Caenorhabditis elegans: one gene and its partners. The protein of the gene in region 2 purifies or fractionates together with the protein of the main gene of each other region. This does not show direct contact. Each region holds a gene or a part of one and is shown on either strand. Other genes may lie near its edges.

Region 1 (4,365 bases), on a different chromosome or scaffold from region 2:
TAAAATTTTTTAACGAAAGTTTGGCAGTTTGCCAAAACTCTGTCTGAAAATTTTGAAAAGTGTAAAAACTTTCGCAGTTTTCTATTTAGATTTTCAGTATTTTTGACTAATACTGAACATATTTTGGCAAACATCCCTGGTTTCGTTCAATAAGAATTTTGAAAAAGTGAGCTATAAGTTGAAATTTGTTAAAAAATTTTATCCGAAAATTTTGAAAAACGGCAATTATCGAATTATCGAGAAAATTCTCAGAATGAAATATTAAAATCTCCAGTTTTTTATGTGTTGGGAAGGAAAAAAGTTAAATTGTATTACCAAAAAAAAGACTCACTACAATAAAAGTTTATTAAACTCGATAATTGCCGAATTGCAGAATTCTCGAAAATTTTCGATTGCCGCCTGATTCCAATGTCAACAAGGCAGAAATATATTCCCAAGAGTTTAATGTTTGGGCCAGTCAGTTGTACATTTACAACTACATTATGCAACATTTCCTGTAGCGATTCGGTTTTTAGTACAAACATATAAACAGTTGACCTATTTAATTTCCAATTTATCCCACTCAAAGACACACCCATTGTTCTCACGAATCTTACATCATTATGATGACATTTATGGGGTTATTCAAGTAGTGTCGGAAAATTAAAAAGTGTAGAAAAATTACGTCACAACCTTATTCAAGTAGATAAAAACATGTATTTAAATACATTTGTGACGTCACAAATGTATTTAAGTACATTTTGCTACATTACTTGAATAACCCCATTATAGCCAAAAAACATGAGTTTATCTAAATAAACCATCTGTGTACGTGACTTTCATAACTTTCTTTTTGTTCCATAAAAGAGTCGTCTCATGATAACATCATACCCCTCCCCTCCTCTTCTTTTCCCTGTTCTCCGTCATTTATGCATTCATTTTGTTGCATGGCGGTTGTTGGTACACGTGTACCCCTTTTCTTATCATAATGATCAGCTTGCTAGCTTAGCGATTTATGTCCTCTGACTATTGTCATCTGAATTAGAAGATGTTTGGTATTTGTTATATTTTTGGATAGCTTTTTTTTGAAAAAAAAACATCAGTATTATTTGTTTGATAATTATTTGATAGCGTTGATTTCTCAACCCGAAATTGTTCACTTTTCAAAAATTTTGTTGGATTTTTTAATCTTCCAAATATTTGAAAGCAAACCAAATATAAAAACAAACATAAAGTTTCAAGTTTACTCGTATTTACTAAAAGTTATGGTTATTCTGAATTTTTCTGAAATACGAAATGAAAGGTACACAGTTTTAGTGAGGTGGGTCTCGCCACGAAACAAGTTTATGGTAGTACTTTTTATCATTGCGGCGGTCGCTTTCCTATTTTCCTAACTGTTCTTTTCGAAAATTAAATTTCCTTAAATCTTTTTTATCAAGAAAAACATTGATTTTAAAAGAATTTTCGTTTGAAAAAAACGGAAAGCGCGTTTACAACAACCGCCGAAAAAAGTGCTACCATAAACTTTTTCGAGTGGCGAGACCTGTTCAAATTAATCTGTGCGCCTTTTCAAAATTACGATATTACGAAACCATGAGTTCATGAGAATGCCTACTTTGTGGCGCGAAAGTAGCGGCAGCAGAGAGAACGTGCGGTGACGAGAGATTTAGGTGCCTTCGCTACGAGATATTCCCGCGCCAAAACGGTAGGCATTCTCATGATCTCATGGTCTCTTAATACTTAAATCTTGACCCATCCAACGGATTCTTTTGCAATTTTTTACACAAGAAATTCCAATAAATTGCTTTTGAGTTTAAAATATTCAAAATTATAACTTTAATTCATTTTTAAAAATTTAAATTTAAGTAAATTGAATCGCTGAATTGTTTTTAAACTTCAATCTCTCAGCATCATAAATATACTATTACTCTTCTTCTTTTTTTCTTCTTTTCCTGCAGGAATTCCTGCTCATTGTTCGAAACGTTTGTTTTTTGCGAAACCGCTACTCTATTTTTGCAGAAATCAATAAAACACACTAACCCTCTTCTCCATAAAATGGCAGCTCCCGGACGAAAAATTAACTTTGCTGCTGGTCCAGCAAAGCTTCCTGAAGAAGTTTTACTTAAAATGCAAGAAGAACAACTCAATTTCAATAATCTAGGAGTCAGTGTCATTGGTAAATTAAGAAATATGCGGATATTGTGAGAATTCAAGACAAATTTTCAGAAATGTCGCATAGATCGAAGGAATTCGGAGCTCTTCTCAATGAAACTATCAGTCTTATTCGGGAACTTATGTAAGTTCGATGTTTCTGAAATTATTCTGTAATTAGTTCAACTAGCTAGAGTGATGAAACTTGAAACATTGTGCACCAAGCCTTTTTAAAATTAAAGTGCAAAATGCTTCCATTCCTTCAAAAAAAGAAAAAGAAAACCCGGAAGTGGCATTTAATCTTAATAAAAATCTATTTGCAGGAACGTACCAGACAACTTTGAAATTCTTTTCATGCAAGGCGGCGGAACCGGTCAATTCGCCGCTATTCCTCTCAATCTTAAGGTATAATTTATGATAAGAGTGAAACACGTCTCTGATGGCTTTTGAGACTTCCCTAACTAGAAAAAAATGTTGTTTAAAACAATTTATCATTCCTAGAAAATGAAAAAAAAATCTTATGACTTGAAAAGTTAGGCAAATCTCAATATACCCACAATAAAAAATAAAATATAAAAATAAAGTTTCCTTTATAGGGTGATCATGAACACGCGGACTACATTGTGACAGGCGCGTGGTCTTCAAAAGCAGCAGATGAGGCTGGAAAATATATCAATGTGAAGAAGGTTTTTCAACCATCAAAACCGTATGTCACTGTACCAGATCAAGAGAATTGGGTTCACGATGAAAAAGCCGCATATCTGTATTATTGTGCCAATGAGACTGTACATGGAATTGAATTTACTCCAACTGCTCCAGAATCACATAATGTTCCATTGGTGGCTGATGTTTCTTCGAATTTCATGGCTAGACCATTTGATTTTAAAGATGTAAGCACAACTATGTATATAAAAATCTTTTAGAAAATTAGCCAGATGTTTTATCCTAATTTTACAAGATTTTGGCAAGAGAAAATCTTGTGAAATTACCAAATAAGTTTTATGAAAAAATCATTAACCTTTTTTTAAAAGTTTCATTTCAGCACGGAGTGGTTTTCGGTGGAGCTCAGAAAAACCTTGGCGCCGCTGGTCTTACAATCGTTATTGTTCGGAAAGATCTTATCGGAAAGCAACAAGCAATCACTCCATCTGTCTTCAGTTATAAAGAAATGATTGCAAATAATAGTTTGTATAATACACCACCAACTGGAGGTATCTACACAACAAATCTCGTTCTCAAATGGATAAAATCAAAAGGTGGACTTCAAGCAATCTATGAGCTAAACCTTCAAAAATCTGGAATGATTTATGATATAATTGATAATTCAAATGGTTTTTATCACTGCGCCGTTGACAAACGCTACCGTAGTATTATGAATGTTTGCTTCCGAATTGGCGGTCCATCTGGAAACGATGAACTTGAGGAGAAGTTCTTGAAAGGATCTATTGAACGAAATATGATTAGTTTAAAGGGACATAGATCAGTTGGTGGAATCCGTGCATCGCTCTATAATGCCATCTCAGTCGAGGAGACACAAGTACTTGCCACGTGGATGAATGAGTTCCAGAAACTCCATAATACTAACTAGTCGGGAGACACTATATTTTTCTTGTATTCTTATTCTGAATTTGTCTGTGATTTTTAAAAACCTTCATGTGCCTTTTTGATTGTTTGTATTTGAATTTTTAAAGTGATTTTAAGAACCAATAAATAATGGTTAACATTTTTTGTTTATTTAAAAAAAACAGAAAACTATGAAATTCCAATGACATCAATGTCTTCATCAAGAAAATCTTGTCTTCTCCTTTTTTTTGTTTCAGCAAAAATTGTCTTGCGTCCGTTTATAGTTCCTCCGGCCATTTTCATTACAAATTCCCGGGCTGTACGCTCGAATTTCGGCCAATCCTCTTTAGCAAGCCGCGAGATATTCGGTTGTGACATATCTTCCAATTGAGCAAGATTTCTACGTTCTGGAAGAGTTCATAATTTAATTTTTTAGTTGATATTTAGATAGCCAAGTAGTTTAAAATGTCTTATAAATGTAGAAAGAATTTACCAATATCATATTTCACATTTCGCATTCCTTCCACAATAAAATTATATAAAACTTCCAAATTGGATCGTCGTTCCCATTGAATTCCACGCATGTCCCACTGAATAATTGCAAAAAATTTAAATGTTTTCAAAATTAGGTTTTTAAACTTACGTTTCCATATTTCCCAAGATTCGGATGAA
Region 2 (3,233 bases):
ATACATGCAAATAAATAAATAAATAAATTTTATTAAATCAGTTTTCACCAAAAATATTTAAAAAATCGATGAAAGTTCCACATCGACGAAATTTTGAAATTACAGTACTCTTTAAATTCGCATTTAACAAAAAAGGCGTGTCGAGACGTGGTACAGTACTCTTGCCGCAAAAGTCGCAAAATTTCGCGTCCGGGGTTTATTTTAAAAAAATTATTTAAAACTGACACAATAAAGATGCTCCTACGAAGAGATTATATGATTTTTGAAGTATATTCAGAAAAAATATAAATTTCATATTTTCAGATACAATGGTCACTACTTTCTCACAACTCTTCTGTATTCCATTTTTCTCGGTGTGGTTGCTGTCGACCGTTTTTGCCTGGGATATTCTGCAATGGCTGTCGGAAAACTAATGACTTTGGGTGGATTTGGAATCTGGTGGATTGTCGATATATTCTTACTGGTACTTGGAGTACTCGGACCCGCGGATGACTCGAGTTGGGAGCCGTACTATTAAAAGAAATTAACTAATACGAGTGGAAAATTAATTGTTTATTGGTCAATATTTACAACCGATCTCATATTGTCAAATCCAATCATTGCGGCAATTGTGTGCTAACTGTCACCTGTAAAATTTGTAATTTCCTTTGTCATTTACTTTATAAAGAAAAATACCTTAATCTTCGAAAGATCACGTCCGTCAATTATCTCACTGAAAATACGACTCATCATTTGAGCCAGCTTATCTGGCCGTTCGTCAATGATTGGAATGACAGGAGGCATTGCTGCTCTGAACTTTTTGATTTTTTCAATGGTTTCTTTGGAACGATAAGGACCACTGAACACGGATACCTTGTTCTGAAATTGGATGATTAGAAGGATTTACTACAAATTTGAATATTTACTGGAGCATTTTTGACGTTCAGAAGTTCAGCTGAGAACGGTTCATCACTGGCATCCCACTCTCCTTCAGTGCATTCTGGCAGCTGTTCGCCCTTATCTGGAAATTAAACTTTGTATTGTCCAGATGCGAAAACTGTAAAATAGCTTGGAGTTGGGTTACTGTAGTCCTTAAAGCCATACGCCTGTTTTCTAACTAAAAACGCTGCCTAAAAATATTTCGGTCGTGTCGAGACCGGGCACCGTACTTCTCAGCGTAAACTAACAAAATTTCGCATCTGTGTAATATTGAAATTTCATCCTTACCATCATCAGTAATTTGAATCTTCGGCAACTGTCGAATAGATTGCTGAACACTTGGTGCTGGTAGTTCCTCTTCTTTTTCGTCTTTTTTATCTTCTTTCTTTTCTTCTTTGCTTGGTTGCTGCTCTGCCATTTTTTGCCTCTTGATTTTGATTTTATCGTTTTGAAGAATAAAATTATTTCCTTTTCAAAAGATGTTTTTTCTTAATTAAAAGATTTCGAAAAAAAAATGCAATACACGTAATTTTGAGTTTTCACTTATGGAAATGTATTTTACAAATCATTTTCAAATACAAGATGGACAACAAAAAGAAGGAAGAAAATCCTAGTAAATCTGATACTTCTATAAGCCGTGAGTAATATATATAACTTTTCGGTTTTTTTTTTAATAAAAAGTTTTAGTTCCACCAAGCTCAACTGGAGAAGCGCTTCAAAATTATACAGAATCGGAATGGAACGCATCAGATGATCCGTATTCTGCAGAACTTCTCAATGTGAAAAAGAAGCCGGTAATTTTTATTTTTACGTAGATTTTCATTAAAACTTTTCCAGAATCGAGTTAATGTGTTCTCAGCAACTGAGAAGAACATGGAAACTATAATTGTCACTGAAGAATCTCCACCACAAACTCCATTGCCTTTAAGTTGAGAAATCACAAAATTCTGGGAACTTAATTTGTATTGGTTTAGAGCCTGTCGTAGAACACCACAATTTGGCTCGATTGATTCAGAAATCATGTCAATTGCTCTTGGATAAAACTACACCAGATGGAACAGAAGTGCAAATAAAATTAGAATTCCCTGACTGGAGAGATACCGCCTGATTCTCTATGTGTTGAATAAAGCTTAACGGTTAAAAAAAAATTAATTGAAATCTGCCTGAAAAAATATCTAAATACAGTACTCACAAGAGAAACTACGGATTTTGAGAATTCGAATTTCGTAGAAAATATTTTTGCAATGTGTATCAGCTGTAATGGTACATATATTTATTTATTAATATTGAATTTTATCTAATTTTTGAAACAATTGGTTTTTTAAACTATTAAAATTGTATTATACTGCCCCAAGTTAAGGAATTACTCGTAGTGTGCGTTCTACGGAACCGGTGGTGTGTCGAGTGCAGCTTCGCTCCATTGTACAAGTTCAATTTCAAACAGAGATTTGCCGCCAAGCAAAACTGCCTTCGTTTACTTTTCACTTTTTTACTTTTCCCATTTAACGAAGTTTATGCTGCCGTTGTTTTGTTATTTTTTTAATCATAATTTATTACCATTTTTAAAACATATTTACAGCCATGTCGATGGAGCCTCGTAAGAAGCGGAACTCGATTCTCAAGGTGCGGCAAGCCGTCGAAACCATCGAGGAAACCGTCATGAACAGTGGGCCTAGTTCCACAACAACTAATCGACGAGTCAGCTTTCATAACGTGAAGCATGTCAAGTCAGTTAGAGTCAGTGAATAATTTATCAATAAAATAATTATTTCAGGCAGTATGACAGGGACCATGGTAAAATTCTTGACGCCACACCAGTTAAGGAGAAGATTACTGACACTATTGGATCAGATGGTATTTTGACGTGAGTTCCATCCTTTAACGTGAAATAATGAATACGTAAAAATCTTTTTAAGACCACGTGGCGGAAACATGGATATTTCCGAATCTCCGGCCTGCACGTCCTCATTTCAAGTGTTCGGCGGTGGTAATCTCGATAAAACTATGGATATGTCTCTCGAAACAACTATCAACGAGAACAACGAAACGGCGAGATTGTTTGAAACCACAAGAGATCCAACACTATTATACGAAAAGATCGTCGAAACCACAACAAAAGTTACCGAGCGAATTGTTAGTATGCCACTGGATGATACCTTAGCAATGTTCAATACAACGAATCAAGAAGATAAGGATATGTCAGTTGATCGTTCAGTTCTTTTCACGATTCCCAAAGTTCCGAAGCATAACGCTACAATGAATAGAACTATACCGATGGACCTCGATGAATCAAAAGCAGCGGGCGGCCAGTGCGA
Region 3 (3,300 bases), 7.5 Mb from region 2:
CGGGTCTAGTCACGAAGTAAGAGTACCCTATTAAAGCATGTTCAATGAAAATCTCATTATTCCAGAGACCTCTCAAGATCCTATCGAGTATCTGAGCAGTTGAATGCTGGAAACGTCTATGTCAATACCTATAATGATGTTTGTAAGTTGCTCCGAATCCCACTAGATCTAGAAAAGAACCTGTAATTTCAGCGCCACTGGTTCCATTCGGAGGAGTCGGAGAATCAGGATTCGGACGTGAAAACGGAACAGCAGTACTCGAACATTATACTCACCTGAAGTCGGTCTTTGTCAATACCGGAACGTGCCCCAACCCATTCTAATGAGTCTTCAAATGTACAAATCTTTATACTTTACTAGTTAGACGAACGGATCGAGAATAAATTATTGCTTTTAGAAGTGTATTTCAACTTCAGAATTGAAACCAATACTCCACAAAGTTATGATATAGTGTTTTTGGTATTTCGAACATTGGCAAGTCAGGTTGCTCAATTATTAATACTATTACAAGTTCCAAAACGTAGCACATCCTGACAGCGCTGTATAATCAAGTACTGAAACAAAACACGTTTATTAGAATTTTAGAAAGTAATTATAGTACATTCAACAAAAATACACATATTAATTGGAAAACCCGTAGATCATTAGGTTTAATTAACTCCTGCTCTGGCGACAGTGAATGGGTTCTCTACTGGAATATGTCCAGCGTTGGCGATGACAACATCCTCAATTGGCCGATCTCCAGCTCCTTTTGGTGTAGCCTCGATCTCACGAACTACGTCCATTCCTTCCAGGATCTTACCGAACACCACATGCTTTCCATCGAGCCATGAGGTTTTGGCGGTAGTGATGAAAAATTGAGATCCATTGGTATCTTCTCCAGCGTTGGCCATTGACAACCATCCTGGTCCGTAGTGTTGAAGCTTGAAGTTCTCATCTTCAAAGCGCTCGCCGTAGATCGATCGTCCACCGGTTCCGTCGCCACGTGTGAAGTCTCCACCTTGAATCATGAAGTTTTCGATGACACGGTGGAACTTGCTACCAACGTATCCTTCTCCCTGAAAATATTAAAGTCTACAGAATTTAATTAACAAACTGAAATACCTCAGCTCTCTGTGCCAACTCAACGAAATTCTTCACTGTCTTCGGCACGACCTCTCCGAAAAGTCCGATGACGATTTTCCCAACAGGTCTTCCTCCGATCTCCATGTCAAAGAAGACCTTGTCAGTGACACGTGGTCCACGTGCCTCGGCTGACAAAGCCAGAATGGCGAGAACGAAGAAAAGAAGAGCACGGCTCATCTGGAAACTTGTTGAGATTTTGGATGCTCATTTTCATAGTAATATAATTAGAGTAGTATATGGTAAAAGTCGGATTTGACATAAAATATGATTTTTAAAAAAACCTCAAAGTAAGAATTTAGTTTCAAAATTAATCGTTTGAAGTTAAACAAAATTCTAATAATTTAGCCTATCAAAATTTAATCATAAGATTTCTAGTTCCTGATCTTTTTTCCCCTACTTTGTACTTTAAGTACTTAAGTACTAAGTACTAAGTTATAATAAATAAATATTTTATTTATAAATATAATGCATAGTATTTAATTTAACTAACAATGTAAGCAATTTTCTAGAAATCCAACAGCATGTATTTAATTGTAAGTATATTAATTGCAAGTTTTATTTTTCAAAAAATATAGAAGAATGCATTCAAAAATCCTGTTCGAAAAGAAAAAAACGACAAAAGAAAAATCGATACAGCTGCAGGAAGCAGCCGTGTCCGGCGGAATAGTGGACATTTGTGCGTGCGCGCATTCTTTTTTATAGTGTTGCAGAGAGTGTGGAGAATTAGAAAGTTACCTTGACCTCTATCTGAAAACAATGGGAGATAATGATAATGATGTAGGTTAACAGTTGTATCTATAGATAAAAATAAAATAATAACAATCTATGATGTAGGTAACTTTGGACATCTTATTTTCTATAAAAGTTATAGGTTACAGTGCAAAACTTTAAGAATAAAAATTTTTAAATTGGTAAAAATCGTCATCCGCAAATGTGGAATAATCGGGTTTTGAAATCGACGTATCGTATCCAAGAATTCCCAAAAAAGGTGCCACGTCATCAAGTTTTCGTAGAGTTTCTTCACTAAAACAATCAAACCACGAGGTTAAGGCTTTAGTGTTTATCGAGTTTTTAACTTGTGATGCAGAGAATTCTTGACTGCAAAATTAAGAGATAGTTGAAGTTCAAAAGTTTTAATGAAGAAAGCACATACTCGTTTAAATCAACTTCGTCTCCAATTAAATCTTGATGTCTTAGCATTTGCTGGGAAAATGGCAGATCCAGGAAGTTGGTGATACGTAGGATTTCTTCCGCAGGTTTTTGAATCAGTCGTTCATAATATACTTTTATGCATTGCCCTGGCGCATTATTGCATTGAAAAGTCATTTTTCGAAGCTCCTGATTCCACTGAACAAACATTGACTAAATGTTTCAAATTATCTTTAGAAATTCAAGAGTTTCATTAGGGAGACCTTACAATTTCATCAGACGTATTATACCCAGCAACTGGTACTTTTCTTTCTATCATTGAATGAACTACGGCACGAGCATCTCGAATCATCAGAATAAACTTTGCATTCGGGTACAGTCGGCGAATAGTCGGAAGCCACAATGCGGTGTATGGATCCTTGTTGCACAGACGAGGTGCTAGTTCACTGTGCTTCGCGACTATCTGTATGAATTGCAATTAAAGATGAACACGGTGACAAGAGCACTACCTCAGTGATGAATGCTGAAACAGCGTCGTCAAATACTTCCTGAGTAATTCCTGAATTATTGACCCAATCATTCCGCCAGCCTGCTTGCCATGTAAGGAAACTTGGAAGCAGCATGGTTTCACCGCCACTGAAAGTTTGAAGTGAGCAGAAGTAATACGTTTTGTTTTTTCTGAATAAGAAGTATCATATTGTCAAGAAAAAGTCTTGACTTCAGAAAGCCTTGTTTCGACGGAGTTTAAAAGTTTTAAAGGAGAAGAAATTCAAGATCTTTTGGCCAAGCGCAGCATACATCGCATTTTTGAAATTTTCTAAATTTACCATCGAACATCCGGATGTGCATCTAGAATAGCTCTCATCAAAGTAGTCCCACTTCTCGGCACACCACCCACAAAAATCAGCTGCTCCAAATTTGAGAGGAGTCGTCTCGAGTGTCGAGCATCTTGCTCATTGAAGATTAAGCTCTCTTTTGAAAGACTTAGCTGTTCTAACTTTTCCTGAAGTTTCTTACTGAAAAATT
Region 4 (3,691 bases), on a different chromosome or scaffold from region 2:
AATGCCTCAATTAGCACAATGGAGCCATCGCGATAGGAACCCGGGAGGCATATATACTAGACAAATCCTACCGTATTCTCTGCAAACTTTACTTCAGCCTTCTGCTCATGAAGTCTCAAAAATTCTGTCTAATTGAAATTCAAATTGCCACGGCGCAATTCACGGTCATTTGAACTCACCTTGAACTCTCGCAGATTCTCGGAGAAAAACCGGAACTAAAGTTTTCTCGCGATCTTTGTGGTTTTGTGAAACAGAGAAAAAAAGAGTAATTGGTGTATTCAATTGGAAGAAATTGAATTGAAGATGAGATGGTGAAACATGGAGTTTTTGAGTTCAAATAAACAATTGATCTTCTTCATGTTTGTCTGTTTTCTATGTGTTTTGTGTATTTCATCTTTTTCTTTCATTCATTTAAAATTGTCTCATTTTCAATTCATTTCTCCCTTCCATGACAATTTCGAGGCCAAATTGAATTGAAGTTTGGTCGTACCTAACAGAGTATAAAAGAATGGCACAAAATGTTGAGAACGTACATCCAAACATCCTTTCTGTTTGTGATCTATATTTTTATCATGATATTTTGGTATTGTCACGTCTGGTCTCTTGTCACGGCCTTGAGAAATCCTTTAATGACAAGATCGTACTAGGTAGCATGTGATTTAGATTTACAGTACTCAAGTATTGCTATCCTAGGTACATAGATAGAAAAGTTAAAAGAATTATTTTTTGTAACTTGAAAAAAGGTAATTTTAAGATAAAGTTAGCATCTAGTGCTCGATCGGTTTCAGGATAGAAGTAAAATTTTGAAATTTTCTGTTAGTAACAGTTTCCAAAATGTGCCATGGATGCATGTTAAAGTAATTATTTTACAGCTTGAATTTAAAAATAGTGACTGATTTGTAGGCCCACTTCTATCGCGCCTGCCTTGTGCCTTTCAGTTGAACCTGACGAATACCAAAGTTGTACGGCAAGGGTTCGCAGATCATTGAGCACGCGGGAAGGTACGAGGCCGGCGCAGGCTTCTGAACTAACGTGATATTTCATTTGAGATTTTTTTAATAAAATTATTAGTTCCGTGTTTAATGGTTTCTCTATTAGACCAACAACTAACGGTTTTTTGTTCATTCTGTTTCAATGAAACGGTAACAAAACACCTGAAGATACTTTTTATTTCAAATCGGGTCATATCTTCTTTTAATTCAATTTTATTGAATTGTGTTCTGTCGTGTTATCTTATCAGTTTGTTATCGTTTCAAACAAAACAAAAACAGTATATAAACGCCGGGTAAGATGGAAGTTCACTGGCAATTCAGTGTTCTTGTGTAATTAACTGATTACCAGAATTTTAAATTTGTCTAGAAAAGCTCTCAGAATATGTATTTTTCAACCTGAATCTATCATTCTACAATCTCCTACCTTTTAGTCTAAACAGTAAATGCCTTCTTGCGGACCTGCAACGTTTGTGGAATAGGCATGTAGGTAGTCTAGTCATGAGAAGCTTTATCAGTTTTCATACTTCTTGGTTTGCTCTCATTAAAAAGTGATATGTTTCTTCAACTTTACCGTTGTATTTTACGCCACCTCAGACAAAGAAATTATATTTTCAGGTATGAACCTTCTACTATTTTCTGCCTTGATCTTGGCTACTTCAGCCGCCCATCTTCTCCCAAAGAAGTCTGTTGCAATTGATAAGAACTCGGTTCTTGTGCTGTTCGGAACTCGTCACGGAAACCGTCATCCAGAAGTTTTTCTCCAAGAGAATCCAAGAAGCTGGGGACATGAGGGAAATACTGAATTGACTTCAGTAAGTATTAATTATTGGAGTTTCTAAATGAAATCTAGTAATATTTCAGTTCGGAAAGCGTCAAGGACTTGGATTGGGAAAGGAATTGAGAAGCTTTATTGGAAATTTGATCTCTCGTAACTACAACTCATCTCAAGTTAAATATTACTCCAGTTCTGCCAACAGATGCCAAATGACTCTTCAGGTATGTGGCGAATTCCGAATTCAAAGTAAAATAATCAAAATTTATCTAACTATAAGTTGCCACATTGAAACAGTAAATTTTTAGACTGTCACTGCTGCTCTCCACGATCCAGAACAATGGGGGGATTGGGATAAGAAATGGTACGATCATTGGTCTCCAGTCCCATATGCCATTGATGATCCACTTCTTAGAATGTACGCTGTTAAGGAATGCAAAGGAAATGATAAGGGTACGGTTGTACTTGTATAATGTGAACATATAAATCCTGATTTTACAGTCTGGGGCCCAATCGACAAGGATTCCCTTCCATTCCTCAAGAAGCTCAAGACAAGCAACGCAGCTGAGCTCAAATACTTCTCTGACAACACCAAATGGAACATGGAGAATCTGGGAAAAGCTGCTGATTTGGCCGATAATCTCATTGAAATTGATCTCTACAAGGCTGAATATCCATCATGGATTAAGGCTCCAAAGTTGAAAGGATACACTTTCGAGAAGCTGAAGGCTAAGATTCTGGAATTTGCTGAAGTTCATCAGAACGCTTGTGCAGAGTACGGACCATGCGGAAACTTGATGGCTGGATATTGGCTTCAGAATTTGATTGATAAGGTTGCTGATGCTAACGCTGGAAAGGGACCACAAGTTATTGGATACGCTTCTGTAAGTTATTTACAACCTGTCAATATTAATGTGAAACCTCTATTTCCTGTGAAAAAATTATACAAATTTCAAATTCCAGCACACCGAAATCACTCTTTCCGTCATGAAATTGATGGGATACGTGAAGGATGAACTGACCACCTCCGCTGGATTCGTAGTTGAATTTAAACGTCTTCCAAAACCAGCTGTCCGTCTTCTCAACCATGATCCTAACCCAATCGATGATCATGTCATCTATCCAGCTGAACTTACTCCAAAACTTAAGAAATTGGCTGACAAGGATGGATTCATTCCATTGGAACAATTCTTCGCCTATGCAAAACAATTCGTAAGTTGGAAAAATAGGTTAGATTATTGTAACAAATTAACATTTTCAGTCCTTCTCCGATTGGAAGTCTCAATGCGACAAGGCTTAGATTCTTTGCATGAATTTATAATAATCGTTTGATTCGCTTCGTATGTACTAATGTAGTTACTTTTTAATAAATAATTCGAAAGTAATCAATGAAAATTGCAAAATAACGGAGAATGGGTTACTGTGCTCATTAAAGGGGTATACCTCGATTTGGAACTATTTTTGCGATGAAAATCGTTTTTTTTTCTATTTAAAAGATACGTGAAGCTCCATGGAGAACAAAAAAAACTCCAGACTGGAAACCGAAGTGTTTGGATATCGTCCACTTGATACACTGCAACTTTTTCCTCACGAGGGACGAGGAAAAGTGGTTTCTAGGCCATGGCCGAGTCCCCGACAAATTTCAGCGGCCATTTATCTTGCTTTGTTTTCTGTGTGTTTTCTTTCGTTTTCACCGATTTTTTTCCGTTTTTTCTTATCAAAACTAATAAATAAATATTTTTTGCAGATGCTAAAACAATTTCCAAGTGAAAAAATTGTGAGTTCAGTCGGCAAGTAGCGGTAAAAGTGGTCAATGTAATATGATGGATTACGGGAATAAAAAACCCAAACTTTTTCCCAAACATGATACATATGCTGTTTAGATGCTAAAAGTACCTGATTTTCATAACGAGACCGCTGAAAAAGT

What was found.
Region 1: the proteins of C02F5.10 (region 2) and F26H9.5 fractionate together in Caenorhabditis elegans (co-fractionation; one large-scale study listed by BioGRID). This does not show direct contact.
Region 3: the proteins of C02F5.10 (region 2) and cyn-6 fractionate together in Caenorhabditis elegans (co-fractionation; one large-scale study listed by BioGRID). This does not show direct contact.
Region 4: the proteins of C02F5.10 (region 2) and acp-6 fractionate together in Caenorhabditis elegans (co-fractionation; one large-scale study listed by BioGRID). This does not show direct contact.

What each region holds. Positions count from the first base shown.
Region 1 is NC_003279.8:9,312,122-9,316,486, reverse strand, and holds F26H9.5 (putative phosphoserine aminotransferase), read left to right. Parts: upstream 1-1,998; 5' UTR 1,999-2,034; coding exon 2,035-2,155; intron 2,156-2,205; coding exon 2,206-2,275; intron 2,276-2,453; coding exon 2,454-2,535; intron 2,536-2,726; coding exon 2,727-3,020; intron 3,021-3,172; coding exon 3,173-3,718; 3' UTR 3,719-3,852; downstream 3,853-4,365. Other genes in the region: uev-3 (Ubiquitin-conjugating enzyme E2 variant 3), read right to left, coding at 3,883-4,100, 4,187-4,283, 4,337-4,365. UniProt on the Caenorhabditis elegans protein: Catalyzes the reversible conversion of 3-phosphohydroxypyruvate to phosphoserine and of 3-hydroxy-2-oxo-4-phosphonooxybutanoate to phosphohydroxythreonine.
Region 2 is NC_003281.10:8,248,137-8,251,369, forward strand, and holds C02F5.10 (uncharacterized protein), read right to left. Parts: upstream 1,346-3,233; 5' UTR 1,337-1,345; coding exon 1,207-1,336; intron 1,001-1,206; coding exon 906-1,000; intron 859-905; coding exon 676-858; exon of another isoform or gene 627-675; coding exon 597-626; 3' UTR 542-596; downstream 1-541. Other genes in the region: TM2 domain-containing protein C02F5.13, read left to right, coding at 304-517; C02F5.2 (DUF5356 domain-containing protein), read left to right, coding at 1,501-1,555, 1,606-1,712, 1,756-1,846, 1,893-2,026; Outer kinetochore KNL1 complex subunit knl-1, read left to right, coding at 2,500-2,645, 2,693-2,782, 2,835-3,233.
Region 3 is NC_003281.10:771,416-774,715, reverse strand, and holds cyn-6 (Peptidyl-prolyl cis-trans isomerase 6), read right to left. Parts: upstream 1,303-3,300; coding exon 1,105-1,302; intron 1,059-1,104; coding exon 651-1,058; 3' UTR 557-650; downstream 1-556. Other genes in the region: alh-11 (Aldehyde dehydrogenase domain-containing protein), read left to right, coding at 1-16, 66-142, 193-323; tpst-2 (Putative protein-tyrosine sulfotransferase), read right to left, coding at 2,013-2,223, 2,279-2,487, 2,543-2,737, 2,784-2,910, 3,102-3,139. UniProt on the Caenorhabditis elegans protein: PPIases accelerate the folding of proteins. It catalyzes the cis-trans isomerization of proline imidic peptide bonds in oligopeptides.
Region 4 is NC_003282.8:6,424,056-6,427,746, reverse strand, and holds acp-6 (Histidine phosphatase family protein), read left to right. Parts: upstream 1-1,607; 5' UTR 1,608-1,609; coding exon 1,610-1,804; intron 1,805-1,853; coding exon 1,854-1,988; exon of another isoform or gene 1,989-2,058; intron 2,059-2,072; coding exon 2,073-2,217; intron 2,218-2,265; coding exon 2,266-2,648; intron 2,649-2,727; coding exon 2,728-2,976; intron 2,977-3,025; coding exon 3,026-3,064; 3' UTR 3,065-3,147; downstream 3,148-3,691.